Anolis sagrei: one gene and its partner. The protein of the gene in region 1 purifies or fractionates together with the protein of each later gene. This does not show direct contact. Links are inferred from orthologs where the notes say so. Each region holds a gene or a part of one and is shown in the gene's direction. Other genes may lie near its edges.

Region 1 (10,599 bases):
GTTTGAATCCAGGGAGCGGGGTGAGCTCTCATCTGTCAGCTCCAGCTTCTCATACAGGGACATGAGAGAAACCTCCCATAGGATGGTAAAACATCCAGGCTCCCTCTGGGCAACATCCTTGCAGACAGCCAATTCTCTCACACCAGAAACGACTTGCAATTTCTCAAGTTGCTTCTGACATGGAAAAAAATAATCATTGATGCATATAATCTTCTCCAAGATTAAATGCACCAATGCACCAATGCAAATGCATGTAATCTAAAATTTGTAATAATCTGAAATCCAAAGCATTTCCGGCCCAAACATTTCGGATGAGAGATATTCAACCTGCATCTGAACATAAACAAAGGCTTTTTTCACACTTGAGTTAATGTGTGCTGTGAGGAAAGAACCGTGACTCGAACCATTCTGAATCCAGGGCTGCTGAGAGTGGGTTTGGGTGCCTATAGAAACATATTTTTTGCCAGTGCAAGCTCAAAAGATGCAGTTTGGAAAAGCGTTATGGTAAGATTCAAGTCAGAAACATGGCAGAGAAAGCAATTAATTTAGACAAAAGTTATTTGGGGAAGCTTTTTTGGTTTGAAGGATCATGGAAAAATTCAAAACAAATACAAATTTTGCTTCCCACCATCAAATGAAAGAGAAACGAACCCAGTTGGAATTGTGAATACTCCTACAGTGTCTTTGTATGTCTCATCCACTTTTTTCCAGGCCATTTGCATTACATGTAAGTAGGTGAACTTCCAGCCAACCTAGAACAAAAAGCCATCCAATTGCATTTGCTGGAATAGGTGAGTATGCCTTTCAAAACCGCCCTTGGGAGAATAAGTTGTGTATGTTATGGTAATTTAGGACCCAAGACAATAGTGTTGTCAAAATAGACATGATGACAGATTTTGAATAAAGGGTGACAGAATTATAGCAGTATGACAGCACTTTAACTGCCACAGCTCATTTGTCATAGAATTGTTGGATTTGTAAGTTTGTTGTTGCAACAGATCTCTTTGGCTGAGAAGAGTAATGGTCTCACAAAACTAAAAATTCCAAGAGTTTACATCTTTGAGCTCTTGTTAACCCAATAGGCAGGCTACAATGGCTTCAAACTACAAGAAAGGAGATTCCATCTGAACATGAGGAAGAACTTCCTGACTGTGAGAGCTGTTCAGCAGTGGAACTCTCTGCCCCAGAGTGTGGTGGAGGCTCCTTCTTTGGAAGCTTTTAAACAGAGGCTGGATGGCCATCTGTCAGGAGTGATTTGAATGCAATATTCCTGCTTCTTGGCAGAATGGGGTTGGACTGGATGGCCCATGAGGTCTCTTCCAACTCTTTGATTCTACTCTTTACTAAAGAACAAGAATTCATAATAATATATCTAGTACTGCAAATGGAAAATTTAAAAGCAAGGGAGAGTACTCTTCATTTCCCAAGACTGTTATGTCAGCACCCTGATTAAGGTGACCATGCATTCAACGAAACAACCCCCAAAACCCTCAGGCAAAACAGCTAAACAGGAATGCATTAAAAAAACAACTCTCTTTCCTGAGGTCTGAACATAAACAAAGACTTTTTTTCACACTTGAGTTAATCAACTCATCCATTCAAGAAAGTCTGTGTTGGATGATTAATGTTTCCTGTTAAGGTAATGACCCTTGGACTTTCTATCTGATTTTTCCTGTGACAGTCTTGCACTCATTCTAGCCCATCCCTATCTCTATATGCATCTGATAAAGCCGATTGCCATAACAATTGGGGAGGAAGGCAAAGGGACAAAGACTGATGGAGAGGGAGAAAAGAAGAGAAAATGGATAGAGAATGTTATCAGAGGTGTTCATGGCTGGAATCACTTGGTCGCTATGCGTTTTCTGGGCTGTAAGGCCATGTTCCAAAAGCTTTCTCTTCTGATGTTTTGTCCACATCTATGGCAGGCATCTTCCAAGGCTGTGATGTCTGTTGGAAACTAGGCAAGTGAGGTTTATATATCTGAGGAATGTCCAGAATGGGAGAAAAAACTTGTCTAGTATGAATGTTGCAATTGGCCACCTTGATTAGCATTTTATGGCCTTGCAGCTTCAAACCCTGGCTGCTTACTGCCTGGGGGAATCATTTGTCGGGAGATGTTAGTTGGCCCTGATTATTTCTTCTCTGGAATTCCCATTTTTTTTAGTGTTGTTCTTTATTTACTGTCCTGATTTTAGAGTTTTATAAATACTGGTAGCGAGATTTTGTTCATTTTCATGGTTTCCTTTCTGTTGAAATTGCCCACATGCTTGTGGATGTCAATGGCTTCTCTGTATAGCCTGACATGGTGGTTGTTAGAGTGGTCCAGCATTTCTGTGTTCTCAAATAATATGGGGTGTCCAGGCTGGTTCATCAGTTGCTCTGCTATGGCTGACTTCTCTGGTTGAATAAGTTGCAGTGCCTTTCATGTTCCTTGATTCATGTTTTATTATTAACTTTATTTATACCCCGCTAACATCTCCCAAAGGACTCGGTGCGGCTTACAAAAGGCCAAGGCCCTCAATAAAACAACAGCATAACAAATACAACAATAAAACTCATACAGCAAAACAATAAACATTAAAGCAATAACAATAAACATTAGAACAATAACACCAATAACATTGTTTGGGCAATGCTGCTGCATTTGGTGGTCCCTATGTAGACTTGTCCACAGCTGCATGGAATACGGTAGACTCCTGCAGAGGTGAGAGGATCCCTCTTGTCCTTTGCTGAACGTAGCATTTGTTGGATTTTCTTAGTGGGCCTGTAGATAGGAAGCCATGAGAGTAAAGACAAAAATCCACCCAGAGGAAACGTGTTCTTACCAGACAACAAGGGAACCACTGACCGCATAGGGAAGCTGATGAAGAAACACAACCTTCAAACTATCTACAGACCCACTAAGAAAATAATATGCTGTGTCCAGGTTGGTTCATCAAGTGCTCTGCTATGGCTGACTTTCTCTTATAAAGTGTTTGAAAGTGAATAAATTGGTTATGAGGAATCGGGAGGAAATACAGAAAAACTTTGTCAATGACTGGGAACCTTTTTTGAACAGTGTGGGAGGTGGGATGGAAAAGTTCTTAGAGCAAGCTTCCATGACTGAAAAAGCTTGGGAGCAACTGCTCTATATAACTGTTCAAGCGTGCCCAGTAAGGGATTCTGGAAGCGAATTCTGTTTGTACTGCCTATTGTGGGCATACACACACAGCAAGAAACCCTTTAAAATGTTTATTTCCATGGAACCCAACTATATCTTTAATTGTTTTAAAGCAAAATATCAGTTAACATTAACAGCCTTAAATATGCAGATGATATCACTTTGATGGTCGAAAGCGAGGAGGAGCTGAAGAGCCTTCTAATCAAGGTGAAAGAAGAAAGTGCAAAAGCTGGGTTGCACTTAAACATAAAAAATAACAAGATTATGGCAACCAGACGGATTGATAACTGGCAAACAGAGGGAGAAAACAATAAAAAGCAGCAAGTATAAGATATTTTGAGTCAATTTGGCCTTTCTTTCTCCTTTTCCTCCTCAACCGCATGTCACTCCAGGTACCTCTGGGTGGGTTTTCTCGAATTCACCTTTCTCTTTCCATCCTTATTTGTATAAATTTTATTATAGTTTAATTTTTCCTAATCTAATCTCTGTAACTATTTATTTATCACTTAAATATTTGTAGTCATTTTTTTCTCTCCCTCATTTTTTTACTAATTTTTATTTTTTGGCTGTATAATGTATCTATTACACACACACACACACACACACAATTTTCTTGCAGTGTAATTTTTTACCTAAACTTTAACATTTTTAATGTAAAAATATAAATAAACATTTTCTTGCAGTGTAATTTATTTAAACTAACAATTTTATGTATTTATTGCAGTGAATTTTTAACTACTTTAAATTTTAATGTAAATAATTATTTTTCTTGAAATGTATTTTTATCTAAACTACAATTCTTAATTTTCTTGCAGTGTAATCATTTATCTAATCTTTAAAATTCTTCTCTCTCTCTATATATATATATATTTCAGTGTAATTTATATAAACTTTAAAATTCTAAATGTATATATATAATTTTCTTGCAACTTTAAAATGTGGTCTCGCAATGTATTTATCTACATTTTAAGCTGTGTAATTTTTATCTAATATTTAAATTTCATAATGTATATATTTTATTTCCTGAAATTCACTTTTTTCTTATTTGATCTCTGACATAAATATTCTTGCAAAGTAGTTTTTGCCCTAATCTTTGAAATTTATTTGATTTCCTTGCAATGTATTTTTTAAATCTAAACTACTATTTAATCTTCAAACTACTATTTAATCTTTAAATATTCTCATATATTATTGCAGTGCAATTTTATCTAATCTTTAAAATTCTTAATGTATATATAATTTTCTTGCAGTGTAAATTTGGTATAAATTTTAAAATTCTTATTCTCACAATGTATTTATCTAAATTTTAAACTGTGTAATTTTTTCTATTCTTTAAAATTCTTTATATATATAATTTTCTTTCAGTGTAATAGTTTATCTAATATTTAAAATTCATAATGTATTTATTTTATTTCCTGCAATGCACTTTATCTGATCTCTGAAATTCTTTCTCTCTCTATATATGTAAAGTAGTTTTTGACCTAATCTCTGAAATTCTTAATATGCAAAGTAGTTTTCGATCTACTCTATAAAATTCTTAATATATATATTCTTGTAGTTTTTGACCTAATCTCTGAAATCTCTGAAATTCTTTATATATATATATATATATATATATATATTCTTGCAAAATAGTTTTTGACCTACTCTCTGAAATTCTTAATATATATATTCTTGCAAAGTAGTTTTTGACCTAATCTGATTTATATATATATATATATAGATAGATTTGTAGTTTTTGACCTAATATTTGAAATTCTTAATATATATATTCTTGCAAAGTAGTTTTTGACCTATTTTCTGAAATTCTCAATATGCAAAGTAGTTTTCGATCTACTCTATAAAATTCTTAATATATATATTCTTGTAGTTTTTGACCTAATCTCTGAAATTCTTTATATATATATATATATATATATATGTTCTTGCAAAATAGTTTTTGACCTACTCTCTGAAATTCTTAATATATATATTCTTGCAAAGTAGTTTTTGACCTAATCTGATTTATATATATATATATATATATATAGATTTGTAGTTTTTGACCTAATATTTGAAATTCTTAATATATATATTCTTGCAAAGTAGTTTTTGACCTATTTTCTGAAATTCTCTCTCTCTATATATATATTCAAAATAGTTTTTGACCTAATCTCTGAAATTCTTTATATACATATTCTTGCAAATTAGTTTGTGACCTAATCTCCGAAATTCTAAATATATATATATTCTTGCAAAGTAGTTTTTGACCTAATATCCGAAATCCTAAATATATATATTCTTGCAAAATAGTTTTTGACCTAATCTCTGAAATTCTTTATATATATATATATATTCTTTCAAGGTAGTTTTGGACCTAATCTCAGAATTTTTTATATATATCTATATATATATAAATTTGGAAAGTAGTTTTTGACTTCATCTGAAATTCTTTATATATATACCTATATTCTTACAAAGTAGGTTTTGACCTAGTCTCTGAAATTCTTAATATATATATTATTGCAAAATAGTTTTTGACTTAATATCTGAAATTCTTTATATATATATATATTCTTGCAATGTAGTTTTTGACCTAATCTTTTAAATTCTTAAGATATATATATATTGCAAAGTAGTTTATGACCTAACCTCTGAAATTCTTAAAACGTATGTAATTATCTTTGATGGCCATGTCCTTTCCCTTGCCTAGACCTTTGTAATTCTAGATGTTTATACCAATTCAAAAAAGAGAGATATAGCTATTGAACTGAAAACAAAGACTCCAAAAGGGAGCAGCCTTTCTTCTCCTTCCTCCTCAAACACGTGTCACTCCGGCCATGATGGAAAGTAAGGCAAACAGGAACCGGAAGTCCCTCCAGGATCACGTGACGGGAGGAGGTGGGCGGGGCTTGTGGGGGAGACTTTGGCATACATCCGGGGATTGGCGAGGGAGGGGGGTCACGTGACGGGCCGGGCCGACCTTTTTCTCCCTGCGAGGCCAAAGCATGGCGAGGGTCACGTGACGAAGGGCGGCTCCTCTTTTTCTCCCCCCCCTCCCCTCCTCCCAATCCTGGGATGCCACTTCCTGTTTCTGCAGGCCGGCTTCAGCGCCAGGCCCCGCCCCTTCCTTTTCCCCTTTCCCTCCCTTTCGGAGCGAGCGGCTCCGGAAATGGTGGCTACGTCGGGCCCCGCTCCGTCGGGCTGAAGGAGGAGACGCCAGGTAAGCCGGGGGCCCTCTCCTCGACCCAACCCGGCCGGAGGGGGAGGAGGGAGAAGGAGCCGGCGGGCAGGCCGCGCTAGGCCTCGCCTCACCACCACCGCCACGTGCAGGAGAGAGGCAGGCCCGACTAGGCCTCGCGCCCTCCTCGCCCGCCTCTTCCTCCCCCAAACCGGGTGGGGCGCGGCCTTCCTCACCACATCCAACCACCCAGCGCCCCAATAGTTCCTGAGCATATGCAGAAGGCGCTGGGGTTCCCCTTCATCCATCACTACAGCTCCCCACTGGTTCCTGAGCATAGGCAGAAAGCACCTGGATGTCTCAGACCTCATCCAGTTCATGCCACGTTAGTATCTGAGCCCATGATGGTCTCGCCCCAATAGTTCCTGAGCATATACAGAAGGGTTTTGAGTTCCTAGTCCTCAATCAATCCGGTGACCCATTAATTTCTGATGTGCAAATTGTGTTGGGATTCATAGTCACCTATCAGTCCTAGTTTCTGAAGGTAGGCAAAAGGCACTTTAGGTTCTTGTGGGTTTTTTTGGGCTATACAGCCATGTTCTAGAGGCATTCTCTCCTGACGTTTCGCCTGCATCTATGGCAAGCATCCTCAGAGGTAGTGAGGTCTGTTGGAATTAGGACAGTGGGTTTATATACAGACCTCACTACCTCTGAGGATGCTTGCCATAGATGCAGGCGAAACGTCAGGAGAAATGCCTCTAGAACATGGCTCTATAGCCCAAAAAAACCCACAAGAACCTAGTGATTCCAGCCATGAAAGTCTTCGACAATAAAAAGGCACTTTGTTTCATAGTCCCGGTAGTTTCTGAACATTCACAGAATGCATTTGGGGTCACAGTTAATTATCCACTCAGCTCCCCACTGGTTCCTGTGCATAGGATTGGTTATACACGGACGATGAATTTTGGATTACGATTCCAGTTATGAGATGCATAGGATTGTTATTGGTGGCCCAATAATTTGTACTGTATATGTGTTTTATGCTTTTAACTGAATATTGTTTTTTAAATGTTGTAAACCGCAATGAGTCGCCGATTTAGGCTGAGATATTAGCGGTATACAAGTGCATTAATAAATAAATAAATAATAAATATAGAGAAAGCACTATGGTTTCGCATGCTTTATCTAGTTTGTGCCACATTACTATTTGAGCCCCTGATGAAGGCTTTGGGGTTCACCTCGCCCCAATAGTTCCTGAGCATATACAGAAGGCTTTTGAGTTCCCAATCATCTATCAATCCGGCGTCCCATTAATTTCTGAGCATGTGCAAATTGCATTGGGATTCACAGTCACTTATCAGTCCTGATTTCTGAAGGTAGGCAAAAGGCACTTCGTTTCATAGCCCTGGTAGTTTCTGAACATTCACAGAAGGCATTTGGGGTCACAGTTAATTTTCCATCCAGGGCTTCACTAGTTTCTGAGCATATGCAGAAAGCTTTCGAGTTCATAATAATTATTCATCCAGTGTTTCATTAATTTCTGAGCATACACAAATGGCATTTGGATTCATTTATCAGCCCAGCACCCCACTATGCTAGTTTCTGAGCATATGCAGAAGGCACTCACTTCTAGACATGAAAACAGTATTTCAAACCATAGCCATTCATTCTCTCCCCCCTCCCCCTGTAATTTCTGAGCATATGCAGAAGGTACTGGGATTTGTTGCCACCCATCAGTCCAAGTTACATTGGTTTCTGAGCATATGCAGAAGGCACTATGGTTTCTCATGCTTTATACAGTTCGTGCCACATTACTATTTGAGCCCCTGATGAAGGCCTTGGGGTTCACCTTGCCCCACTAGTTCCTGAGCATATACAGAAGGCTTTTGAGTTCTTAATCATGTATCAATCTGGTGTCCCATTAATTTATGAGCATGTGCAAATAGCATTGGGATCCATAGTCACATATCAGTCCTACTTTCTGAAGGTAGGCAAAAGGCACCTCGTTTCATAGCCCTAGTAGTTTCTGAACATACACAGAAGGCATTTGAGGTCACAGTTAATTATCCATCCAGGGCATCACTAGTTTCTGAGCATATGTAGAAGGCTTTTGAGTCCATAATCTGGTGTCCTGTTGATTCCTGAGAATGTGCAGATCGTATGTGGATTCATTGCCACTTGTCAGTCCTTCATACTTATTATTAAATCAGGTCCTTGTCCTTTGTTCCCCTTCAATCCGCTGCCCTACTCGTTTATGAAGGTAGGCCAAAGGCACTTTGATTAATAGCCACCCATATAGCTCCCCAGCATTGGATTCATAGCCCCGGTTGTCTCTGAACAAACACAGGAGGCATTTGGGATCACAATTAATTACCCCGCCTGGCCTCACTAGTTTCTGAGCATATGCAGAAGGCATTTGAGGTCATAGATACATATCAGTATATCTCCCCACTAGTTTCTGAGCATATGCAAAAGGCTTTTGGGTTCATGGTAAGCAATTAACCCAGTGCTCCATTAGTTTCTGAGTGTGTGGTAATAGCATTTGGATTCATAGTCACCTATCAGTACAGCTCAACTTTTTAATATGTAAATTCCAGGAAGATCAAGTTTTGTAACCCTTCTCCAATACTTTTTTCATATAAATAATCCTGTTGTTCATTCTCCTGTACATTTTATTGTAGATTATAGACCCACAGAACAAAATTCACCCCCAATTAACTAGTATAGTCCTCAAAATCCACAGATTCAGCTATCCAGAGCTTGAAAGTATTACATAAAGATCCAAAATACAAATGTTGGTTTTGCTATTTTATATGAGGCGCACCAGTTCACCAGGCCATTGTGCATAATGGGACTTGAGCACACATAGATTTTGGTATCCATAGGTGGGTGAGGGGTCCTAAAACAGATTTTTTTTTTGTATACCAAGGACATACTGCATTCATAAGGGCTGAGGCTCATATACAAACTTAATAATTGGAGTAATGATACATCTCTCCAATACACAGCACACTTTTTTCTGTTTTTCCTTATCTTGTTTATCCTATCTTAGGACTGAACTTTGCAAGCGAATATGCCCTTGTCATGGGGTTGCTTCTGAGTCTTATGTATTGTTTTCTTCTGGAAAATATCAGGAAGATTATGGAAACCTTTTCTGGCTTATGTAGGAAAGATCATTAACTTTAAAATGTATCCACTTTTTCCACAACGTGCACACTTTTACATACATATGTTTCCTCTTAACTTTACTTTCCCCCTCCATAGTCGGTTGCACTTTTTTCCAGCATCCTTTTAAGGCACAGTGAGCAAAACTGTACATAATACTTCAGTGTGGCCACACCATCTATTTGCATAAGAGCAATATTTTGAAATGCAAACATAGAGTTTTCTTTCAGATAGTACTTTTTTAAAGCAATCTCCAATTTGTTACTGTAGGTCCCCTCCCCTCAGTGTACATAAATGTACATAAATGCATACTTGTTTACATGGATCCAAATAAGCTTATTTTCCAGTCTGGGGGATTCTTTGGCAACCTTCTTCAATTTATTTTTCCACAATCCATTCCTCAATCTGGAAGATTCTTTGAGACTTCTGCAATCTATTTTTCTTCTAGCCATTTTAACTAGTTTGTTGTTGGCAGCAAAGTTAGCCACCTTATTGATTGGCCTTAGAAACAACCGATCATTTGTGAACAAGTTAGGAAGGACTGGACCAATACAAGTCTTTTAAGGGGATCACTGTTTGCACCCTTTCACTTTGAGAACTGAACATTTGTTCCTTGTGTTCTCTGTACTGTCTGCTTTTTAATGAGTCACCAATCTATAAGAGTCCAGTTACTGAATCCCTTAAGTGTTTAACTGTTGAAGAGGCCTGGCCATTTAAACTTAATCCCTCTTTCAATAATATCAATTGAGTCAAAATTCCAAATACACATTTTTAGCAGTCAAGTCCTGTGAATAACCTCTTCTCACTGCTTCCCATGGAGCAATGGTTGCGGTACATTTCTCATCTTGTTCAGCCATCCAGAGCTTGAAAGTATTACATAAAGATCCAAAATACAAATGTTGGTTTTGCTATTTTATATGAGGTGCACCATTTCACTAGGCCAATACAATACACAACGTGATCAAAGGCCCTTCTGTGTAACCTTCTCTTCTATAACTAGGGGACCTTCCACTCATCCCTATATCTCAGAATATCAAGGCAGACAATCCCACATTATTTGATTTGAACTGGAATATATGGCAGTGTGGACTCAGATAACCCAGTTCAAAGCAGA
Region 2 (10,737 bases), on another chromosome or scaffold:
GCCTCCACCTCTGGCAAAAGCCATCGGACTAGAGATCAAATCATGTGTGTTGGCCAAAATCAAAGAGGATGCTACAGGTAGGTTTTATGGAGTACCGTCAAGAGGACTTGGGGGCTCTTTAGTTCGAAATGCCTGACAGACTACTTTTCTCTCACTACCATTGTGAATTGTGTAGCACTGTAGCATGTGTTCTTGGGGAATGTCACTTCCAAATAGCCCACTCAGGATTCTGTCCAAACATCTACCAGTATGGAAATACACTGGCCACTCTCTATTATTTCATTCCAGGATTTAAACCAGGAATAAAGAGTATGTGGCTCTCCATATGCTATTGAACTAAAGCTTCCATGGTTCATCACACCTTTCTTAACTTGTTTAAGGCTGGTGCAGTAAAATTGTCATTTGTAGATCCACCACCCTAGTTGCAAAGGGCACATGGAGCTCTGGATCAGTGGTTAGAAGGCAGGGTCATCAAGTTTGCAGACGACACCAAATTGGGAGGGATAGCCAATACTCCCGAAGACATGAGCAGGATTCAAAACGATCTTGACAGATTAGAGAGATGAATGGCCAAAACTAACAAAATGAAGTTCAACAGGGACAAATGCAAGATACTCCACTTAGGCAGAAAAAGCGAAATGCAAAGGTACAGAATGGGGGGTGCCTGGCTCGAGAGCAGTACGTGTGAAAAAGATCTTGGAATCCTTGTGGACAACAAATTAAACATGAGCCAACAATGTGATGTGGCGGCAAAAAAAGCCAATGGGATTTTGCCCTGCATCAATAGGAGCATAGTGTCCAGGGAAGTCATGCTACCCTTCTATTCTGCTTTGGTTAGACCACACCTGGAATATTGTGTCCAATTCTGGGCACCACAATTCAAGAGAGATATTGACAAGCTGGAATGTGTCCAGAGGAGGGCGATTAAAATGATCAAGGATCTGGAGAACAAGCCCTATGAGGAGCGGATTAAGGAGCTGAGCATGTTTAGCCTGAAAATGAGAAAGCTGAGAGGAGATATGATAGCCATGTATAAATATGTGAGAGGAAGTCACAGGGAGGAGGGAGCAAGCTTGTTTTTTGCTTCCCTGGAGACTAGAACACAGAACAATGGCTTCAAACTACAGGAAAGGAAATTCCATCTGAACATGAGGAAGAACTTCCTGACTGTGAGAGCCGTTCAGCAGTGGAACTCTCTGCCCTGGAGTGTGGTGGAGGCTCCTTCTTTGGAAGCTTTTAAACAGAGGCTGGATGGTCATGTCAGGGGTGATTTGAATGCAATATTCCTGCTTCTTGGCAGGGGGTTGGACTGGATGGCCCATGAGGTCTCTTCCAACTCTTTGATTCTATGATTCTGTGCTATTGAACTAAAGCTCCCATGATCCCTCGCACCTTTCTTAACTTGTTTAAGGCTGATGCAGTAAAATTCGTTGCAGTGAAATTGCCATTTGGAGATCTACCACCCCAGTTGCAAAGAGACATGGAGCTCTGGATCAGTGGTTCTCAACCTATGGGTCCCCTGGTGTCTTGGTCTACAACTCCCAGAAATCCCAGCCGGTTTGCCAACTGTTAGGATTTCTGGGAGTTGAAGGCCAAAACATCTGGGGACCCACAGGTTGAGAACCACTGCTCTAGGCAATAGTGGGTGCCCCACCTGTGGAGGAAGCATGTTGGGAGAAAGGCCTGCCTGTCCAACAACTCCAAATGGAAAAATACTGTTTTTTGTAGAGATGTCTATGTGCTTGTTGGACTTCTCCTCCCCATCCCTTTGGAACAGGGATGTGAGCTGGAGAAATGGTGGTGGTGATGATTTGTATCCTGTTTTTTCTCAAAAAAGAAGACTCAAAGCAGCTCACAATAAAAACCAATACAATATAATTTAAACCTACAAATATACAAACATTGAAATGGAATTGAACATGAACAGTATTAAAAATAAACAATTAAACCCCTCAAAATCAATTGAAACCTATTAATAGCACCCCCTGACTTGATGTTTAAAAAAATCCTTCTTTAAAAGCCTGCCTGAATAATACGCTCAGGGATTTATATTTCTGCTGTATCTTATTTTTCCGCAGATACCATCAAACGGGAAAAAATGGACACTTCCGATTAATTTGTAAATTGCTCGTCATCTGCTGCACCTTGGTTACCGCACCTGAACACCCAAACATGCACTGATAATTTTGAATTTTCTTCTGCTTTTTTAATTTCCAGGTTATTTTCTTATACTTCTGGACATGCTGAAAATTGTTGGAGGTCTCTCTTTGTTTTTGGGGACGGGAGGGGGAGGATTTTTGTGTGTTCTCTCTCTCTGTCTTGCTCTTTCTCAGAGTCTGTATTTGTGAGCGGTGTTTGTCTCCTCGGCTGACATTCTGACGCTGTTTTGATGTTCCAGATAACCATTCCCAAGTGATCAAATTGTGCAGTGCCTGCCACTTCATGCGTGTGCGTGTGTATGTGTGTCGGGGGGAGGGGGGGTTCAGGATGTTTTTATGATACATTGTATTGAAATTTAATCAACCACTTTGTACAAGTGGAAATTAATACTTTATGTAGTTTTTATATGTTGTAATATTTCTTCAAATAAATCTCTCCTATAAATTATCTCAAGGTCCCTTTCTGACTTCCTTCAGATGTCTGTCCCATCTCTGGGCTCTGGTTTGTGTTCATGTTGGTGCTGGGACCTAAGTACCACTTCAATTCCACTGACCAACACACATTTTGGTGCCTCAAATGTTAGCTCTGTTTCTGGGTATATTTGACCTGCTGATTCCAAAAATGATACCAGTTTTCCCCTATCAGCTCTAGTTTTTCAGATACAGAACATAGGCCATCTATCAATTGCCATCTGCCACCCATAAAGAATCATGATAATCTTAATATATAAAAAAGCTTCTGTGCGTCCTGAGTAGGCTAAACACAGACAAACTATGGGGCCAACTGACATCAATTTTGGCCTCCAAACGTCTCATACCGCAAGGTATGACCACAATTAAAAAAAATCCCCAAACAGTGAAAATAGCTTTAAAATTCTTTTAAAAATAAAAAATACCTTACCACGCATGTGCAAAACCTAGGCCTGCCCCCTCCTGTACAAGAAGGGGAAACAAACAGCCACAGTAGCAAAGCAGCTGGCTGTCCCTGCTTCAGGAGCCAAGCTGAGAAGCCAGAACAACCTGGCAAAGCTGCTCTGAAAAGCAGCCTTTAGAGCAGTGGTTCTCAACCTTCCTAATGCCGTGACCCCTTAAGACAGTCCCTCATGTTGTGGTGACCCCCAACCATAATATTGTTTTCGTTGCTACTTCATAACAGTCATTTTACTAATGTTATATATCATAATGTAAGTATCTGATATGCAGGGTGCATTTTCATTCACTGGGCACAAATACCCAATGCACCCAAATGTGAATGCTAGTGGGGTTGGGGGAGGATTGATTTTATAATTTGGGAGTTGTAGTTGCTGGGATTTATAGTTTACTTATAATCAAAGAGCATTCTAAACTCCACCAGCGATGGATTTGAACCAAACTTGACTCCCATGACCAACAGAAAACACTGGAAGGGTTTGATGGGCATTGACCTTGAGTTTGGGAGTTGTAGTTCACCTATATCCAGAGACACTGTGGACTCATGCCATGATGGATCTGGTCCAAACTTCGCATGATTACTCAATATGCCCAAATGTGAACACTGGTGGAGTCTGGGGAAAATAGATCTTGACATTTGGGAGTTGTAGTTGCTGGAATTTATAGTTCATTACAATCAAGGAATATTCTGAACTCCACCAACGATAGAATTGGCTCAAACTTCCCACATGGAATCCCCATGACCATCAGATAATACTGTGTTTTCTTATGGTCTTTGGCGACCCCTCAGGGGTCCCGACCCCCAGGTTGAGAAGCACTGCTTTAGAGCCTTCTCGGGGGGGGGGGGAGAGGGATGGACGGACGGAGGGACAGAAGAAGCGAAGAAGCAAGCAAGCCCCTTTTGCATTGGTCTGGCAAGGAAGGCGAGAGGGAAAGGGAACGGAGTGAGGGAGGGAGCAGGAGCTACACTAGGAGAAGGCTGCACAGGCCTCTTAAGAGACACAGGGTTCAGTAACAAATCTCATATTCAATTAAAGGAGGCATTTAACAAACACCGGGAACCCCCAGTGGCGCAGTGGTTTAAACCCCTGTGCTGGCAGAACTGAAGACCGATTGGTCGCAGGTTCAAATCTGGGGAGAGGCAGATGAGCTCCCTCTATCAGCTCCATGAGAGAAGCCTCCCACAAGGATGATAAAATCAAAAAATCATCCAGGTGTCCCTCTGGGCAATGTCCTTGCAGACGGCCAATTCTCTCACACCAGAAGCGACTTGCAGTTTCTCAAGTCGCTCCTGACACGACAAATAATAATAACAAAGACAAGAAAGGTGGATTCGAAGAAGGGGAAAAAATATGGGACAAGGTTTTGTCTTCGAACAATAAACTAATCTCCAAAATCCGCAAAATACTCTTAACTTGGTCGACCGAGAGAGAACAAATAAAAGAGTGCATGGTGAGGTGGGCACAAAACATCGGCCACAACATCCAAATAACAGAATGGGAAAACATGTTGTTGTTCATTCGTTCAGTCGTCTCCGACTCTTCGTGACCTCATGGACCAGCCCACGCCAGAGCTCCCTGTCGGCCGTTACCACCCCCAGCTCCCTCAAGGTCAGTCCAGTCACTTCAAGGATGCCATCCATCCATCTTGCCCTTGGTCGGCCCCTCTTCCTTTTGCCTTCCACTTTCCCCAGCATAATTGTCTTCTCTAGGCTTTCCTGTCTCCTCATGATGTGGCCAAAGTACTTCAACTTTGTCTCTAGTATCTTTCCCTCCAGTGAGCAGTCAGGCTTTATTTCCTGGAGGATGGACTGGTTGGATCTTCTCGCAGTCCAAGGCACTCTCAGAACTTTCCTCCAACACCACAGCTCAAAAGCATCGATCTTCCTTCGCTCAGCCTTCCCTAAGGTCCAGCTCTCACATCCGTAGGTGACTACAGGGAATACCATGGCTTTGACTAGGCGGATCTTTGTTGCCAGTCTGATTTCTCTACTCTTTACTATTTTATCGAGACTGGACATTGCTCTCCTCCCAAGAAGGAAGCGTCTTCTGATTTCCTGGCCACAGTCTGCATCTGCAGTAATCTTTGCACCTAGAAATACAAAGTCTGTCACAGCCTCCACGGTTTCTCCCTCTATTTTCCAGTTGTCAATCATTCTTGTTGCCATAATCTTGGTTTTTTTGACGTTTAGCTGCAACCCGGCTTTTGCGCTTTCTTCTTTCACCTTGATTAGAAGGCTCCTCAGCTCCTCCTCGCTTTCGGCCATCAGAGTGGTGTCATCTGCATATCTGAGGTTGTTAATGTTTCTTCCAGCAATTTTCACCCCGGCTTTGCATTCATCCAGCCCCGCACATCGCATGATGTGTTCTGCATACAAGTTAAAAAGGTTGGGTGAGAGGATGCAGCCTTGCCGTACGCCTTTCCCAATCTTGAACCAGTCTGTTGTTCCGTGGTCAGTTCTGACTGTTGCTACTTGGTCCTTGTACAGATTCCTCAGGGAAAACATATGGAACTCTAAAATAAAATATACAGACTCTCAGGACCTACGTGAAAATTGGTACACGATGATGTGCCGTTGGTACATAACACCAAGTAAACTTGCGAAATGTTAAAAGAATCCATCAGACAAATGCTGGAAATGCACTCACAAGTGGGATCCTTCTCTCACCTTTGGTGGACATGCAAAAAAGCAACTAGATTCTGAGCGTGGACTCAGATAACACAGTTCAAAGCAGATATTGTGGGATTTTCTGCCTTGATATTCTGGAATATAGGGCTGTGTGGAAGGGCCCCCAGCTGGGTTTGACAGTAGGACGCGGAACAATGGTTTCAAACTACAAGAAAGGAGATTCCATCTGAACATGAAGAAGAACTTCCTGATTGTGAGAGCCATTCAGCAGTGGAACTCTCTGCCCCGGAGTGTGGTGGAGGCTCCTTCTTTGGAGGCTTTTAAACAGAGGCTGGGTGGCCATCTGTGAGGGGTGCTTTGAATGCAACATTCCCGCTTCTTGGCAGGGGGTTGGACTGGATGGCCCATGAAGTCTTCCAACTCTTATAATTCCTGACTGTGAGCCGTTCAGCAGTGGAACTCTCTGCCCCGGAGTGTGGTGGAGGCTCCTTTTGAAGGCTTTTAAACAGAAGCTGGGTGGCCATCTGTGAGGGGTGCTTTGAATGCAACATTCCCGCTTCTTGGCAGGGGGTTGGACTGGATGGCCCATGAAGTCTCTTCCAACTCTAGAATTCTATCAAGGGATGCAATTCTTGAAGTGTCCACTGGGGGCGGCAATTCACCTCACTAATACAGGCGGCCTTGCAGCTTTTGGGCCTCCAACTTCCAGCATTCCTGGGCATTGAACAAGCTGGCGAGGGCTTCTGGGAATTGGAGGCCCAAAAGTTGGAGTGGAGCGACCCCTATCGCGTCTTCCCAGCAGGCACCGCGGCGAGCCGAAAGGCCTCCGCCATGCATTTTGGTTTGGCCACCACGTCAGTGACGCAAACTACGTCTCCCGTGAGGCTCTGCGTCACGCTTAGGCCGGCTTCCTGCCTCTCGTGAGGCCTAGTCTTCCTCTTCAGCTCGCCTTCCTGCTGCTTGCTCTTCTTCCAGGGGCGGCCATGCCGACGGGCGACTACGAGTGAGCAAATGGGGAAGGCGGGAAGCAGGCCTGGAGGAGGGAGGGAGGCCTTGGGGGAAAGGGGAAAGCGGCGGGCGGGCGGTCCGTGTACACGTGTTTGCGCGTCCAGACGTGCAGTGGCGGGTTTGTGATTCGGAGAGTCCCGAATTCTTTCCTCAACCGCTTCTCATGAGCCATTTTTTCCCAAACAAAGTCAACTTCATGTCTTTCAAACTCTTAAAGCTGGTTATAGACCAAAAGCTCAATTTGGTCAGCTCTGGACTTCTCCAGCTGAGTGTCAAGAGTTGGGCAGACACGTGACAGAAACCTAAGGCCTGGCCTCCTCAAACAGCGGCCTTCCAGCTGTTTGCACCTCCAACTCCTAAAATTCCTGGCCATTGAAGAAGCTGGCAAGGGCTTCTGGGCGTTGGAAGGCCCCAGTTTGAGGCTGCCTGCTCTGGGAAGCTTGGCATAGCTTTGTGTATCTTTTACTTTTTTTGTCGTGTCAGAGCAACCAGTCCATTATGTTACATTTCTAACCGAACAAAGCAAATAAACAGAAAAATACACAACTTGTGAGTTTCGTAGTTGGTTAAATGTCCTTTGACCAGTATCTGGCCACTTGGAGTGCTTCTGGTGTTGCCGCAAGTAGGTCCTCCATTGTGCATGTGGCAGGGCTCAGGTTGCATTGCAGCAAGTAGTCAGTGGTTTGCTCTTCTCCACACTCGCATGTCGTGGATTCCACTTTGTAGCCCCATTTCTTGAGGTTGGCTCTGCATCTCGTGGTGCCAGAGCGCAGTCTGTTCAGCGCCTTCCAAGTCACCCAGTCTTCTGTGTGCCCAGGAGGGAGTCTCTCATTTGGTATCAGCCATTGGTTGAGGTGCTGGGTTTGAGCCTGCCACTTTTGGACTCTCGCTTGCTGAGGTGTTCCAGCGAGTGTCTCTGTAGATCTTAGAAAACTATGCCTAGATTTAAGTCATTGGCGTGCTGGCTGATACCCAAACAGGGGATGAGCTGGAGATGTCTCTGCCTTGGTCCTTTCACTATTGGCTGCTACTTCCCGGCAGATGTCAGGTGGTGCAATACCGGCTAAGCAGTGTAATTTCTCCAGTGGTGTAGAGCGCAGACACCCTGAGATAATCCGGCATGTCTCATTAAGAGCCACATCCACTGTTTTAGTATGGTGAGATGTGTTCCACACTGGGCATGCATACTCAGCAGCAGAGTAGCATAGCATAAGGGCAGATGTCTTCACTGTATCTGGTTGTGGGACATGAGAGAAGCCTCCTCGCAGGATTGCAAGATATCCGGGCGTCCCCTGGGCAACGTCTTCGTAGACGGCTGATTCTCTCGCCACAGAAGCGACCAGCATGCAAGCAAGCAAGCATCTTTTACTTAAAATCCAACTTTAAAACGAAATGATTTAATTAATATTTCTTGATGAGTTTACCCTGCTACCTAGTATGATGTGTCTTCACGTATTCATGTAATACAGTATAATAATAATATTATTAATAATAATACAATATAATTTTTTTGTTGTATCAGGAGCGACTTGAGAAACTGCAAGTCGCTTCTGGTGTGAGAGAATTGGCCGTCTGCAAGGACGTTGCCCAGGGGACGCCTGTATGATTTGATGTTTTTATCCTTGTGGGAGGCTTCTCTCATGTCCCCGCATGAGGAGCTGGAGCTGATAGAGGGAGCTCATCCGCCTCTCCCCGGATTCGAACCTGCGACCTGTCGGTCTTCAGTCCTGCCGGCACAGGGGTTTAACCCACTGCGCCACTGGGGGCTCATACAATATACTAAAATCTAGTAATAATAATTGTAAAATCATAATAATAACCTTTATTTCTATCTCGCAGTGGTTCTCAACTTGAGGTCCCCAGATGTTTTAGCCTTCAACACCCAGAAATCCTAAATTTCTGAGAATTGTAGGCCAAAACACCTGGGGACCCACAGGTTGAGGATCACTGCTCTACAGTGTAGTTGCACTTCAAGTCTAGCACTGAAACCACTGCACCACACTGATTGTCTCCCTTACTTAATATTGGATGTGCAACTATGGCTCTCCAAATGTTTTTGGTCAGCTATTCCCATTATCCATCATTAGTGGCTTTGCTGGGTAGGTCTGATGGGCCTTTGAGGCCAAAGATATCTTTGTGCAACTTACCTGGAGGTCTATATTTGCTCACTTGTTCTAACATTATATAGTTAGATACTAAAACTTGGAGATGGGTATTAATTATGTAGACTGCATCTTTACTGAATCTCCATTAGACATGGAGTCACTTTGAAAGTGAGAGACACTGAACATGTGTTGAAAAGGTCTGGGTAACATGGAAATACATGATTTCATTAATGTATGGGGAGCAATTTCCGCATCTGGTATTATTGGACCACATCTGTTTAATGCAGTGGTTCCCAACTTTTTTTTGACCAGGGACCACTCTCCAGCATTATTACCAAAAGGGTTAGGAATCAGTTTTTGGTCAACTTTAGATTTGGTTTGTGGTGCTGATTCAGAAAATTGCATTGGGTAGACCACATCAGCTCTGCTTTCTGATACAGAACACATGCCATGGTCAGCAACAGGAAAGGAGTGGCAGGCAGTCTGAAAGGAGTAGAAGTAAAATAAATAAAAAATGAGATTTGTGGACCAGATTTTCGTCCTTGCAGCCTACTGGTGGTCCGTCACCCACAGGTTAAGAACCAGTGCTTTAATGGAATAGTAACAGGAGTGTTACCTGAAAATGTTGAGAATATATCCCCCAGTCATAAACACATCTAGCTCTCAAGGGACTTTTCCTTGTAAGCCAGTGGTTCCCAACTTTTAGCCTCCAGGCATTTTAGACTTCAACTCCCAGAACTCCCAGCAACTTACCAGCTTTTAGGAATTGTGAGAATTAAAGTCCAAAACATCCGGAAGACCAAAGGTTGAGAACCACTGCTGTAATCACGCATATGCTAGACAGGTAATACAGAGGCTGTGTTAGATGTGGCTGAGAAAGTAGTTGGTTGAATTGGAAGGACACGTGACAGCAGGAAGAACATGGCTGTGTTCTTGCTGGACAGTGGCCAATGTTTCAGCGTTATGCACTCCATCTTGATAAAATGTCTCTTTAAAACATGCAGGTTAGGCTCCCAACCACAAAGCTTCAAACTTAGTCTGTTTTCTGTTACTTTTCTGTGGGTCTATTCAGTTATATGAGCGGAAGTGTCCTCTTTGGAAATGCCTTTAGAAATCCAGTTTTAGTGCTTCAGTGAGAACAAGATAAAGTTATTGAGGATCTGAACAGGAAAGGTAAAAGAAGATCTGGAGCAGTTAATGAAGTGATTGGAATTCAAGATTAATTCCAACAATTAGCAGTCTAGGACTGAATGAGTGAGTCTACAAGGTTTGTTTGTTTTTTCAAAGAGGGGTGAGTGAGTGAGCTTTGGAAACAATAAATAAGAAAAACAAAAAAATTAAGTAAGGTATGTGGTGTATAAATCTGGATGGTAATGTAAATCTTCAATGGCAAAATACCTGCATTTTTACCTGAAACATGAGGTAGGTGGCTAGAACCCTCAAAGAGTTGGAAGAGACCTCATGGGCCATCCAGTCCAACCCCTTGCCAAGAAGCAGGAATATTGCATTCAAACCAACCTGTGTGTTGACCAGCTGGCAAGTGGGCGTCTTCCTTTGGAAGTGGACATGACAAGATAAAGAACAGTGGTTGCTGCCCAAAGGTTTTTTATTAATATTTGAATGGAAAAATAGCTGGAATAAATTAGATGCTGGAGATAGTAGTTTCTTGTACAAACTAATTAGGTGTGTACTAAATGAAGAGTTGTCTAACTTGTACATCCAGATGTATGTTCTTTTCTTCTTCTCTGATAGAACTGAAGAAGCAAACCTGTGTTAAATGAGTTGTAATGGACAGGATGAAGTTTAATAGGCAAAAACATGTTGCATGGAGAATTTAGTTTCCTGGAATTTGATTATTGTTGGACAGCATGCACATGTTTATGACTACTGAGAGCAGAAGGCTCAT

The links. Proteins that work in one complex are often made in the same cells at the same time.
Region 2: the proteins of EIF4G1 (region 1) and EIF3G purify together in Homo sapiens (affinity purification with mass spectrometry; 3 studies listed by BioGRID, with this or other methods). This does not show direct contact. The link is inferred for Anolis sagrei from reciprocal best matches to the Homo sapiens genes EIF4G1 and EIF3G.

Annotation. Positions count from the first base shown.
Region 1 is NC_090023.1:262,548,320-262,558,918, reverse strand, and holds the start of EIF4G1 (eukaryotic translation initiation factor 4 gamma 1), read left to right. Parts: upstream 1-6,251; 5' UTR 6,252-6,362; intron 6,363-10,599.
Region 2 is NC_090022.1:172,116,311-172,127,047, forward strand, and holds the start of EIF3G (eukaryotic translation initiation factor 3 subunit G), read left to right. Parts: upstream 1-6,558; 5' UTR 6,559-6,701; coding exon 6,702-6,721; intron 6,722-10,737. Other genes in the region: DNMT1 (DNA (cytosine-5)-methyltransferase 1), read left to right, coding at 1-77, 2,079-2,116. UniProt on the Homo sapiens protein: RNA-binding component of the eukaryotic translation initiation factor 3 (eIF-3) complex, which is required for several steps in the initiation of protein synthesis.